2 linked regions of the Rattus norvegicus genome follow. The protein of the gene in region 2 purifies or fractionates together with the protein of the main gene of each other region. This does not show direct contact. Links are inferred from orthologs where the notes say so. Each region holds a gene or a part of one and is shown on either strand. Other genes may lie near its edges.

Region 1 (4,831 bases), on a different chromosome or scaffold from region 2:
CAGCAGTGCTATTGATCTGGCCTTACAGCAGGGAGTCAGGCCTCTGGCGCCCCTGCCAAGATTCCAGATCTCACTAGTTGTCCTGTCCTCCCACCACCCCCAAGCCAAGAGTCAGTAGGCCAAGTCGCATTCGCCTTAGTCTCATCAACCGGCCCATGGTGCAAGATGGCAAACAGGTTGTGCCAGGGGAGAGGCCAAGCTCTGTGCAACAGAAGGATATCATCTTAGCAGCCTCCGCCTCCCCCTCAGCCTGCACAATCTTCTGTCGTTGTTCCTGCTTTGCTTTCTCCACCAAAAACTGGGCCCTCTGGGCTTCCTGCTGGGCTGTGGCATAAGTGAACTGATGTTATAGCTGTAAGGTGTAGGAAGCCCACATACATGTGGTCCCCCTTCTCCGGTCTCCAGAAGCCCACCGACCTCGCCTGCCTCCATGGACTTACCCACTTGTTTGGCTTCTACAGCAGCTGTGTACTCTCGGCTGAAGCTTAGCTCTGTGATAGCTACATCGTCCAGGATGAGGCTGAAGTCCTTGGCACGCTCTGTCAGCTCTCTTCGGATCAACAGAGACACCTGGGGGCAGGGGTTGGGAGGGGAGGTTTGGTTTGAACTGAAAGGAAGGTGGCATTGCTGTAACTATCTGATCGCCAGAGCTCCTGAGTATGGGCACCAAACCTATCACCTAAATCCTTAAACATTCACTAGAAAAACATGGTTCCCTTTCTCCATGTGACAGTCAGGGCAGCATCAGACAGGTGTCACGACTGTCCCGTGTCACACCGAGTCCTAATCTCCTCTTTTCAATGTATGCATCTCCTTAGCTCCCTGTCAATCGAGGAAAGCCCTTTAGAGACGTGGGAAAGGGTATACAGCTATTGTTCTCTCCTGTGCTTCCTTCTTAACGTCCACTGCTATCAGGTTCTACAGCGGTGTCTCCTTATTTCCCACAGTCCAACTGGCCATGCAGGCAAGGAGAACCTGAGACTTCTGATCCTCCTACTTCTACCTCTAGTGCTGGGATTACAGGCATGCGCCACGCCTGGTTTGACACTTGGGAATACAACCAGGATTTGTGCACGCTAGGCAAGCACTCACCGACTGGACTACAGATCCATTCCACCCCATCCTGGAACACCTTTTATTTAGTACCCAGTAACCCTGACCAAGGAGACAGGGGTCAGACCTGAGCCCGCTGGGTAATGAGCTGCGAGGCGTTGAACTTGGCCACCACACTCTTGAGCACCTCATTAACAATGGACGGCAGCACTCGCTCCTCATAGTCTAGGCCTAGGCGCTGGTACATGCTGGGGAGCTCCTGGGCATTGGGCCGAGACAGTACACGCAGGGAGATGTTCACCATCTGCAGGTCTGAGGGAGAGGTCAGCAGTGGCCGGTTAAGGCCAAATTCCCCCTTTCCCAGCATCTTTTCCTATGAGTGCTACCCACCATGCTACCCACCATGTTACACAGTACAGACTAGCTCCACTGGGAAGATGATCATGTCAACGAGGAACATGTGGACAACACGGGTGAGACAGATCCTTGTTTACTGAGAAATCTTTTCTACAGGTCTTCCATTAATACAGCTTTAAAAAAATTTTTTTTTTTTTGCTACTCCTCCAAAGTGGATTCACCAAGCAGCACAATTTTGGGTTTCCCCCTAATCATCTGGAGAACCAGAACTGTGAACTGTTTATTGTTTATTTCCAAGGCCTGTGGCTTGGCCAATGAATAAACCACATACACTGCAAACAGCACAAAGAAGCACATTTCTGGGGGCTACTTGCCTCAGTGTGTACATGGGAATGAGGCAGAGGCCTGGGGAATCTCAAAGGCAGGACTTCTAAATGTGGTCTACAAGGAAACAGCTAGTGAAGAGTGGGGGCACTTTCTCCAGAGCAAGGTGTACTGTGGATGTAATCAACAAGTCAACAGAAAAAAGGCCTTAAAAAAAGGCTTGGATCCAGGCAGCAAGGAAGAAAGGCAACTCATTTCGTTTATGCTAGGCAGAAGGTAACGTTAAAACGTGCACACATACTTACATGTATTGTTTTGAACCGTGAGGCATGGCTCTTTTGCAGACATAGAATACAAGCCCTAAGAAACACTACCATTTCTGGCAGCCTTGCCAGGCTCATTTTACATTTCTGTCTTTCCCCACGTGCCATGCAGCTCCCAGTTGCCCACATTACCTTTGGAGCCTGTGGGGGAGGAGATTTTTCGAGGTCTGGCCCGAATGTCATAGATGATGGGGTACTGGAACCAGGGAATCCTGGAAAGGAGAGGTCAGGGACAGGAGTTGGGAAACTACAGTTTCATTGATTTTGACCAGTTTCCCCTCACCACTCGTCCTTGGGCCTGTTCCTCCCCATGACCACAGACAGGGAGATTCTCTTTTCCAGGTCGAGAACAGCCTTTTATGCTGGCACTGTCCTTACGAGAAGGAGTGAGGAGGGGAAAAAGCAGTATCGAATCCTGTTGTTAAGTCTGGCTACAGCCGTCAAGGGTGAAGGGTCAGGGCCTGCTCGCTCTGCCCGCCATTACCTGAAGTGAAGGCCTTCGGCTAGGATTGTGTCCTGTTGTACGCCACCAATACGATTAAAGAAGATGGCTCTGTGACCACCTTCCACTGTGGAGAGAGGGGTGGGAGTCAGGACAAGCTGCTGGTCAGGCTCAGGCGGGACAGGGATGAGGGAGCATGGAGGCGCGGACACTTGGGGGAGGTAGGACAGTGGGTCTGGAGACCGCGAGGTCCGGTCAGTGGAAGGAGGTTGCTCACCAGTGAATACGGACTCACGGACGCCGTAGGCCACAGCCCCGGCCCCCAGCAGCAGCTTCAGCGCCGTGCCCATGCCCCGAGGCCCGGAGGGCAGGCGTCCCGCTAGGTCCTTTAAGTTCTGGGCCATGTCTGATTCTCCTGAAGGCGGCGGCACCAGTGGTCAGGAGGGGGTGCCCGCCAGCTTCTACCCCACTCCAGTTTACACACCTCGCCTTGCACACGAGGATTGGAGGCCTTAGAGCTCGCGGGAGAAAGGGCACCGGAAGTGCGTTCTCTCTGAACCCGCCCCCGTTTGCTTAGTCGGACCCAAACCTCGCGCACAGTAATGGCGCATCCGGAAGTCCCGCCCCCTTTGGAGGTGTGCCCTCTTAGAGAGGCTTCCGTACAGGTATCGCCATTTTCAAGCGCCCTCTTTCAAAATGGCAGCTAGAAGGAAGTTTGCAGTGAGGCGGACGTGAAGTTCTAACTTAAGGACCTTAGCGCAACTTCCGGTCTGCTTACAAGATGGCTGCGACCAGTGGTGGCTTCCAACCTCGTGAGCGGCGTTTTTCAGTGCAGGAACAGGACTGGGACCCTGCGCCGCCTAAGAGACCCCGGCTTGGGGCAGGAAGCAAGTGTGGAGGCCGTAGGCTCATTGTGGTGTTGGAAGGGGCCAGTCTGGAGACAGTCAAGGTAGTTTTGAACATGAATGCGGAGGTAGTCCATTGATGAACCAGATTCTGTGGGGCACAGAATGAATGGAAAAACGGAGCCGTGAAATTTGCTTTTGAAGGATGACCTAGTTTTGCAGGCGGTTGACATCCTGGATTGGCAGTGTTTTCTTTTGCTCTTGACTCTCATTTTAGCTTTTAGTTAATTTACCAGGGACTCTGTGATATAAAATGCAAAATGGGGGAAGCATTGAGGTTTCCCACATTTCTAAAGGCCAGTGACTTCCTCAGCCTTTTATTGCTAAGGATTTGATGTTTTATTTTGTTAAAAGGCTTTCGACCGCCAGCTTGTTTTATATTTACCTATTTTGAAGTGTGTCTGATCAGATTATTTAAAAAGCCTTCGTCTTTGCTTTTTTACCCCCTTAAATACTTATTTTACCCTTTCTTATGCATGCAAGTCTCCATGTGGCCGTGAGCCACCTCATGTGGGTGCTAGGAAGCTAACTTGGGTCCTGTACAAGAAGGCTTTGTCATAACCCCTGTGCCATCTCTCTTGCCCCCTCCTTCCTTCCTTCTTTCTTTTGTCTTACCTTTCAGAGCTAAACTTGTTCATTGGTTAGATCCAGAAGTCATCCCCCAACCCCTTCCCCCAATACACACATACCCCACACACACTCTGGATGGTTGTATTTTGTAAGTCTTGGAATGCAGTCGAGGTTGGCTTGGAACTCTCCACCTTCAACCTCCTCAGTACTTGGATATTTATAGGTGAGTTTCACCATGCCAGGCCTGACCTGGATTTAAATTTGGTCCTTAGCCTTTCCTAGTGACTGTGAGAAAACATGTTTGCTCTCCCTTTGTAAGGTGGTTGTATACCAAACCACACAGGAGCTGTATTGACAGTCCTGTAAAGGTGGTTAAGAGTGTTACCTGAGAACCCGAGGTGAGAGTCATTTCCATTTGTTCTTCATGTACACTTTATTAAACTAGAAAACTGTTTTCCCCTTCTACTCTTTTCCCCTAGACTTATTTCTGAGTACCCTGGAACTATCTTCAGACACACCAGAAGAGGGCATCAGATCCCATTACAGATGGTTGTGAGCCACCATGTGGTTGCTGGGATTTGAACTCAGGACCTCTGGAAGAGCAGTCAGTGTAACCACTGAGCCATCTCTCCTGTACCCTCCCCTTCTATTTTTTATTAAGTGATCAATTAATCAGATTTAAAATTTTCTATAGTCATTTCCAACCTAACTACAGGCTTTTATATAATCCTCCCTCAGTGGTTATCATCAGTCATCATCATTATTATTGTTTAAAGGTTTATTTATGTGTATTGGTGTTTTGCTTGCATGTATATCTCTGTAGAATGCCAGATCCCCTGGAACTGGAGTTACAGACG
Region 2 (4,857 bases):
GCCCCTAAGTCAGGTCCTGCAGCTTCCTCTGTGGCCTCTGACAGCAACCACTCACCATATCGAATGGCTTTATACCATCCCTTTTATCCCAGATATGTACTGGGGGCTCCTGTCCATAGGTAAAACACCCTATAGATGTGTCATTATCCTCTCAATCAGACTGTGTTAAATCTGAGCTTGTATACTCCCTTCATCTAAACCCTTCCTCCATATCATCTTTGGCCTACAAAATGGGGCCGATGTCTTCTGATTTCCTAAAGAAAACCTGAATGCTCCCCTCATACTGCTGGTCCTTCTCTGGACAGTATCAAACAGTGTCTCCCCAAACATCTCTCTTCCAGCCTACCTAAGGCCCAGCTACTCTAGGTTGCTGTGAAACCTGCTTACATAACCCCCAAGCCATCACCCTTTCTGCAGACAGCACCTCTACCACTAGAAATATATTTCTAATTAAAAACTGAATTTGTGCTGGGTGGTGGTGGCGCACACTTTGAACCCCAGCACTCAGGAAGCAGAGGCAGATCGATCTCTGTAAATTCAAAGTCAGCCTGGTGTACAGAGCAAGTTCCAGGACAGCCACAGCTACTTGGTGAGACCCTATCTTGAAAAAAAAAAAAAAAAAAAGCCAAAAACCAAGATACAAAGAACCCAAATTCGCTTGTAACCCCACCTTCATTACTTATCACAGCTCTCAGAATAAAGTCGTTGCTTTCCTTCAGGCCTCCTTCCTCTAACTGCTGGCAGAGGGGAAGCACATGAAGTCATCTTAAAGAGCAGAGGCTCTGTTCACGCTACCTTCCTAGTTTAGTCCTCCCAGCTCCCAGGGGGCAGGCTTTCCAGCTTGCCAAAACCTGATAGGCTGAACTGTCACAGCCAGTGTGTCCCTTCAGAGGCAAACAATGCAGCCAGCACAAGAGAGATAAAGAAAGGAAGGGAAGAGATCTTAATTTGATGGTGATGATGATGATGATGGTAGTGGTGGTGGTGGTGGTGTGGTGGTGGTGATGGTGATGATGATGATGATGATGATTAATTTATTTTGACAGTCTCGTGTACCTCAAGCCCGTCTCAAACGAAACTTCTAGGTCTCCTATCTTTACCTGCTGGTACTGAAGGTTTTAAAAAACATCTTCACATTCGGACTGTGTGGAATACAATTCTTGTTGGTTGGGAAGTAGCCGAGGTCTAGTTTCCTCGCTTATATACTGGCTCATTAATTTCTAACATACAGGGCAGTCCCACAGGTTGACTACTGGTCTATTTATAGATTTTAAGTTGTCAATTAAATCTATTGATTTTTTTTTCTTTTTTTCAATTTCTGCCTTAGCTGGTTTGGTGGAAATCTCAATGTACTAAGGGGGAGTGTATTCGTTTTAATCTTCTTCTAAACCCTTCCTGGCTTAATTTTCACATCCAATTCTCTAAGTATTAGAGAGAACTGCATTAGAGTCTGATGCACGAGTCTAATACATTGTCATGTAAGCTCCCAGCAGGCAGACATGACGTAGTTCTCACTGGATGGCTTCAGCCTTCCGCGGGGAGGGGACCAGCTGTTTGCTATTTACTATTTATTACTCTCTACCCCCTAGAGTAGAGAGGCTGGGAGGCGCTGGCCCAGCAGGTGATTGGCACAAGCGACCAGGCCCCTCCCTGCTCTATGCCCGCGGATCTCGGTGAATTCCCTAGGGCAGAGCCTGGCCGGCAGCCAGCCGCAGATCCCCACCTTTGGATGAAGCCTGGTACCCCAGGTCCTCCTAGGCACTAGGTAGGCGGCTGCGGCCTCCCGGGTTCCCCGGCTGGTGAGCGCACCTGACCCGGCGGGCGTGGCAACAGGCGGGGCGGCGAGGCTGACGTGGCCCGTGGCGTGGAGCGGGCGTGATTCATCAGCGGCGGCCGAGAGTGATGGGGACGAGTGCCGAGGCCTCCTAGGCGCGTCCCCTGCGCGATCTCGGGGTCGGTGGCCTGGCTCTGGGAAAGCCAATATGGAAGAGATCCTGAGGAAGCTGCAGAGAGATGCGTCCGGGAGCAAATACAAAGCCATCAAAGAGAGCTGTACCTGGGCCCTGGGTAAGTGAGCGGGAGGCGAAGGGGTGCGTGAGGACACCTGCTCCCCGATCTCGGGCTCCTCCCGGCCCCTGGGCAGGAGGGACTGTCACCGAGTGTGGCTTATGGATGTTGCCTCGGAGAATTAATGCGGGGTATGAAAATCTTGGCTCAGCGTGGACATGCAGCTGGCTCCATCTGGTCCCCTTACCACTTCCCAAACCTCTATGGGAACCATTGCCTTTGGAGTGAGGCAACCCCATTCCTGGTCCCTAGAGCCCATAGGCACGGGTTCCCCAAAGCCAAGTTAGGACCTCCAGTTTGTGTGAAATCAGGGCCCTGGTTTCCAGGGGTATGGAAGAAAAAAAGGAAGTTAATTAAAGCAACAGCCCTCTTCTCAAACACTGGTGAGTGGAACCAGGAAGGGAGAGGCTGGTTTAATTTGATTTTGCTGATTGAGGCCACCTTGCTAAATATTCACTTTTACGGCTATTGTGCATGGGAAATAACAGTCTGAAGGAATTGTGTTACTCCTGCAGTTCGGTTACTGACTGGCTCTCAGACAGGTGGGCTTTTAGTGGCGTGAGCTATGCTAAAATTGAGATAAGTTCCTGGTTGCAAATGAGCATTTCCCATCATGTAGGCTGCAGTCCTCAACATCGGAAAATAAACGGGATGACATATCAATTAGGCAAGACCAAGGCACTGAGAATGGGGAGGACTGAACTGCACTAAACAGGCAGCTCTGTGAGACCCTTGCTTTACAAGAGCCTGCATGTTATGCCTCAGTAACCAGTTAATTTAAAAAAAAAAAAAAAAAAAACAACAACAAAACCCTTTTCTTGAAATAAAAACCAATTGGCACTTGTCATGATTCTTTGCTGTGTGCAACCTGAAAAAAAAAAAAAAAAAAAAGACACAGAAATGCTATCAGTTGCCCGTCCACTAAAGGCAGAATTCTGATAGTGTTTTAGGTCATGCTGTTCTGATGGAAGGTCTTAATACACATGTTTGTGCACACATGTATGTCTGTGTCTCCCTGTGTAGACAATTGTAGCAGCACCATCCTTTGTTTAATCTCTGCATATCCCTAAATTGTCTTCAATTATTGCCCAGGGAGGTTTATCTTGTAGGTAGAAGTAGTACTTGGCCATTTTAGTGGCCGTATTAAATGAAAATGGACTAGCTGTCTGAGAGGCGGCAAGGCTCCTAAAGCTGCAGTAAGGTTTCAGTGGCCATTATCGTTAACTGTTCAGCAATGATTCCTAGCTGGATTCCCAAAAGCCTCTCTAATGGAAGGTCACAGACGGCTGGCTAACATAGTAAAGGAGGCCCTGACTGTGCATGGAATACACCATTCCTGGTATTCCTTATTAGTTTGCTGTGAATGAAACTGATTGAGATAAACACAGAGGTGGTGAGTAACCCAGTGTTGTTTGTTTTTTAATAAGTTGGACCTTTGCTATTCAACATCTTGCGTGTTAAACAGCAGGTGTTGAATTTAGGCCCCGGAAGGTACTAGGGAAGCCCAGATCTGAGGCCAGGTAGGTTTTCTGGGTCAAGTTCAGAATTCACCTTGACCGTAAGAATAGATGAGGTCGGGGCTGGGGATTTAGCTCAGTGGTAGAGCGCTTACCTAGGAAGCGCAAGGCCCTGGGTTCGGTCCCCAGCTCCGGAAAAAAAGAACCAAAAAAAAAAAAAAAAAAAAAAAGAATAGATGAGGTCCCGTTTACTGCTCAGTGCTTACTCTGTAATTAGCAAGAGAAGAGATAAAGCTGTGACGGTTAAATAACATCGTGGAACATTCCTGGTTACAAGGGAAAAACCACAGCTGGAAAACATGGCAAGGAGGAGCGTCTCCCGGAGGAGGAGGATGGGGTAGATGTTACTCACTGGCTGGTTTTCTGTGTCGACTTGACACAAGCCGGAGTTATCACAGAGAAAGGAGCCTCAGTTGTGGAAATGCCTCCAAGAGACCCAGCTGTAAGGCGTTTTCTCAACCAGTGATCAAGGGCGGAGGGCCCAGCCCATTGTGGGTGGGGCTGTCCCCTGGCTGGTGGTCTTGGGTTCTATAAGAGAGCAAGCTGAGCAAGCCAGGGGAAGCAAGCCAGTAAGCCACACCCCTCCATGGCCTCTGCATCAGCTCCTGACTCCTGGCTTCCTTTGGTGATGAACAGCAATGTGGAAGTGTAAGCTGAATAAAACCCTTTCCTCCCCAACCTGCTTCTTGGTCATGATGTTTGCGCAGGAATAGAAACCCTGACTTAGACAATGGGTAATCTTTAGGTTCTCTTATTTTTCTTCTATTTTTTTGAGCATACATTTCAGACATTCCCTGTAGTGAAGAATTCTTAAACCCGAAGCAGTTTGTTGAAGGGGAGTGGGGAGTGCAGTAGAAACAAAGGCATGGGCGTTTTTTGCTGGTCATCTTCTTCCTCCTACAGCCAAGTCAAGGTTTTTACTAGAACGTAGTTGTTGATGATCAGCCGTTCGTATTTTTAAATAGAGTAACATTTATATTTCTAAGAATGCTTAGAGAATCTAGAGCAGCTCCATTTCGTATGGCCCCACCAAGAGCTCCAGGGCCCGGTGGCAGTCATCTGTGACACTTTATTGATGACACCATGCACAGCAGTTATTTTCTTTGCTTCTGATATTCTTCTGCCTGGAATACCTTTCCAGATCCCTCAAGGCCTCACAGGAAGCCTTCTCTGCCTGTCTCGGTGGAATCATTTACTCCGCTGGCTTAGAGCCCTGCCCTCCAGACTCTCTTAGAGCACTTAGTACTTTAGACTTGGCACATGAATACCTTGA

What was found.
Region 1: the proteins of Arfgef3 (region 2) and Phb2 purify together in Homo sapiens (affinity purification with western blotting; 4 studies listed by BioGRID). This does not show direct contact. The link is inferred for Rattus norvegicus from reciprocal best matches to the Homo sapiens genes ARFGEF3 and PHB2.

The regions. Positions count from the first base shown.
Region 1 is NC_086022.1:159,202,146-159,206,976, reverse strand, and holds the start of Phb2 (prohibitin-2), read right to left. Parts: upstream 3,030-4,831; 5' UTR 2,904-3,029; coding exon 2,777-2,903; intron 2,627-2,776; coding exon 2,542-2,626; intron 2,270-2,541; coding exon 2,190-2,269; intron 1,366-2,189; coding exon 1,181-1,365; intron 571-1,180; coding exon 441-570; intron 325-440; coding exon 221-324; intron 153-220; exon of another isoform or gene 1-152. Other genes in the region: Emg1 (ribosomal RNA small subunit methyltransferase NEP1), read left to right, coding at 3,281-3,448.
Region 2 is NC_086019.1:15,220,763-15,225,619, reverse strand, and holds the start of Arfgef3 (ARFGEF family member 3), read left to right. Parts: upstream 1-1,877; 5' UTR 1,878-1,982; coding exon 1,983-2,067; intron 2,068-4,857. UniProt on the Homo sapiens protein: Participates in the regulation of systemic glucose homeostasis, where it negatively regulates insulin granule biogenesis in pancreatic islet beta cells. Also regulates glucagon granule production in pancreatic alpha cells.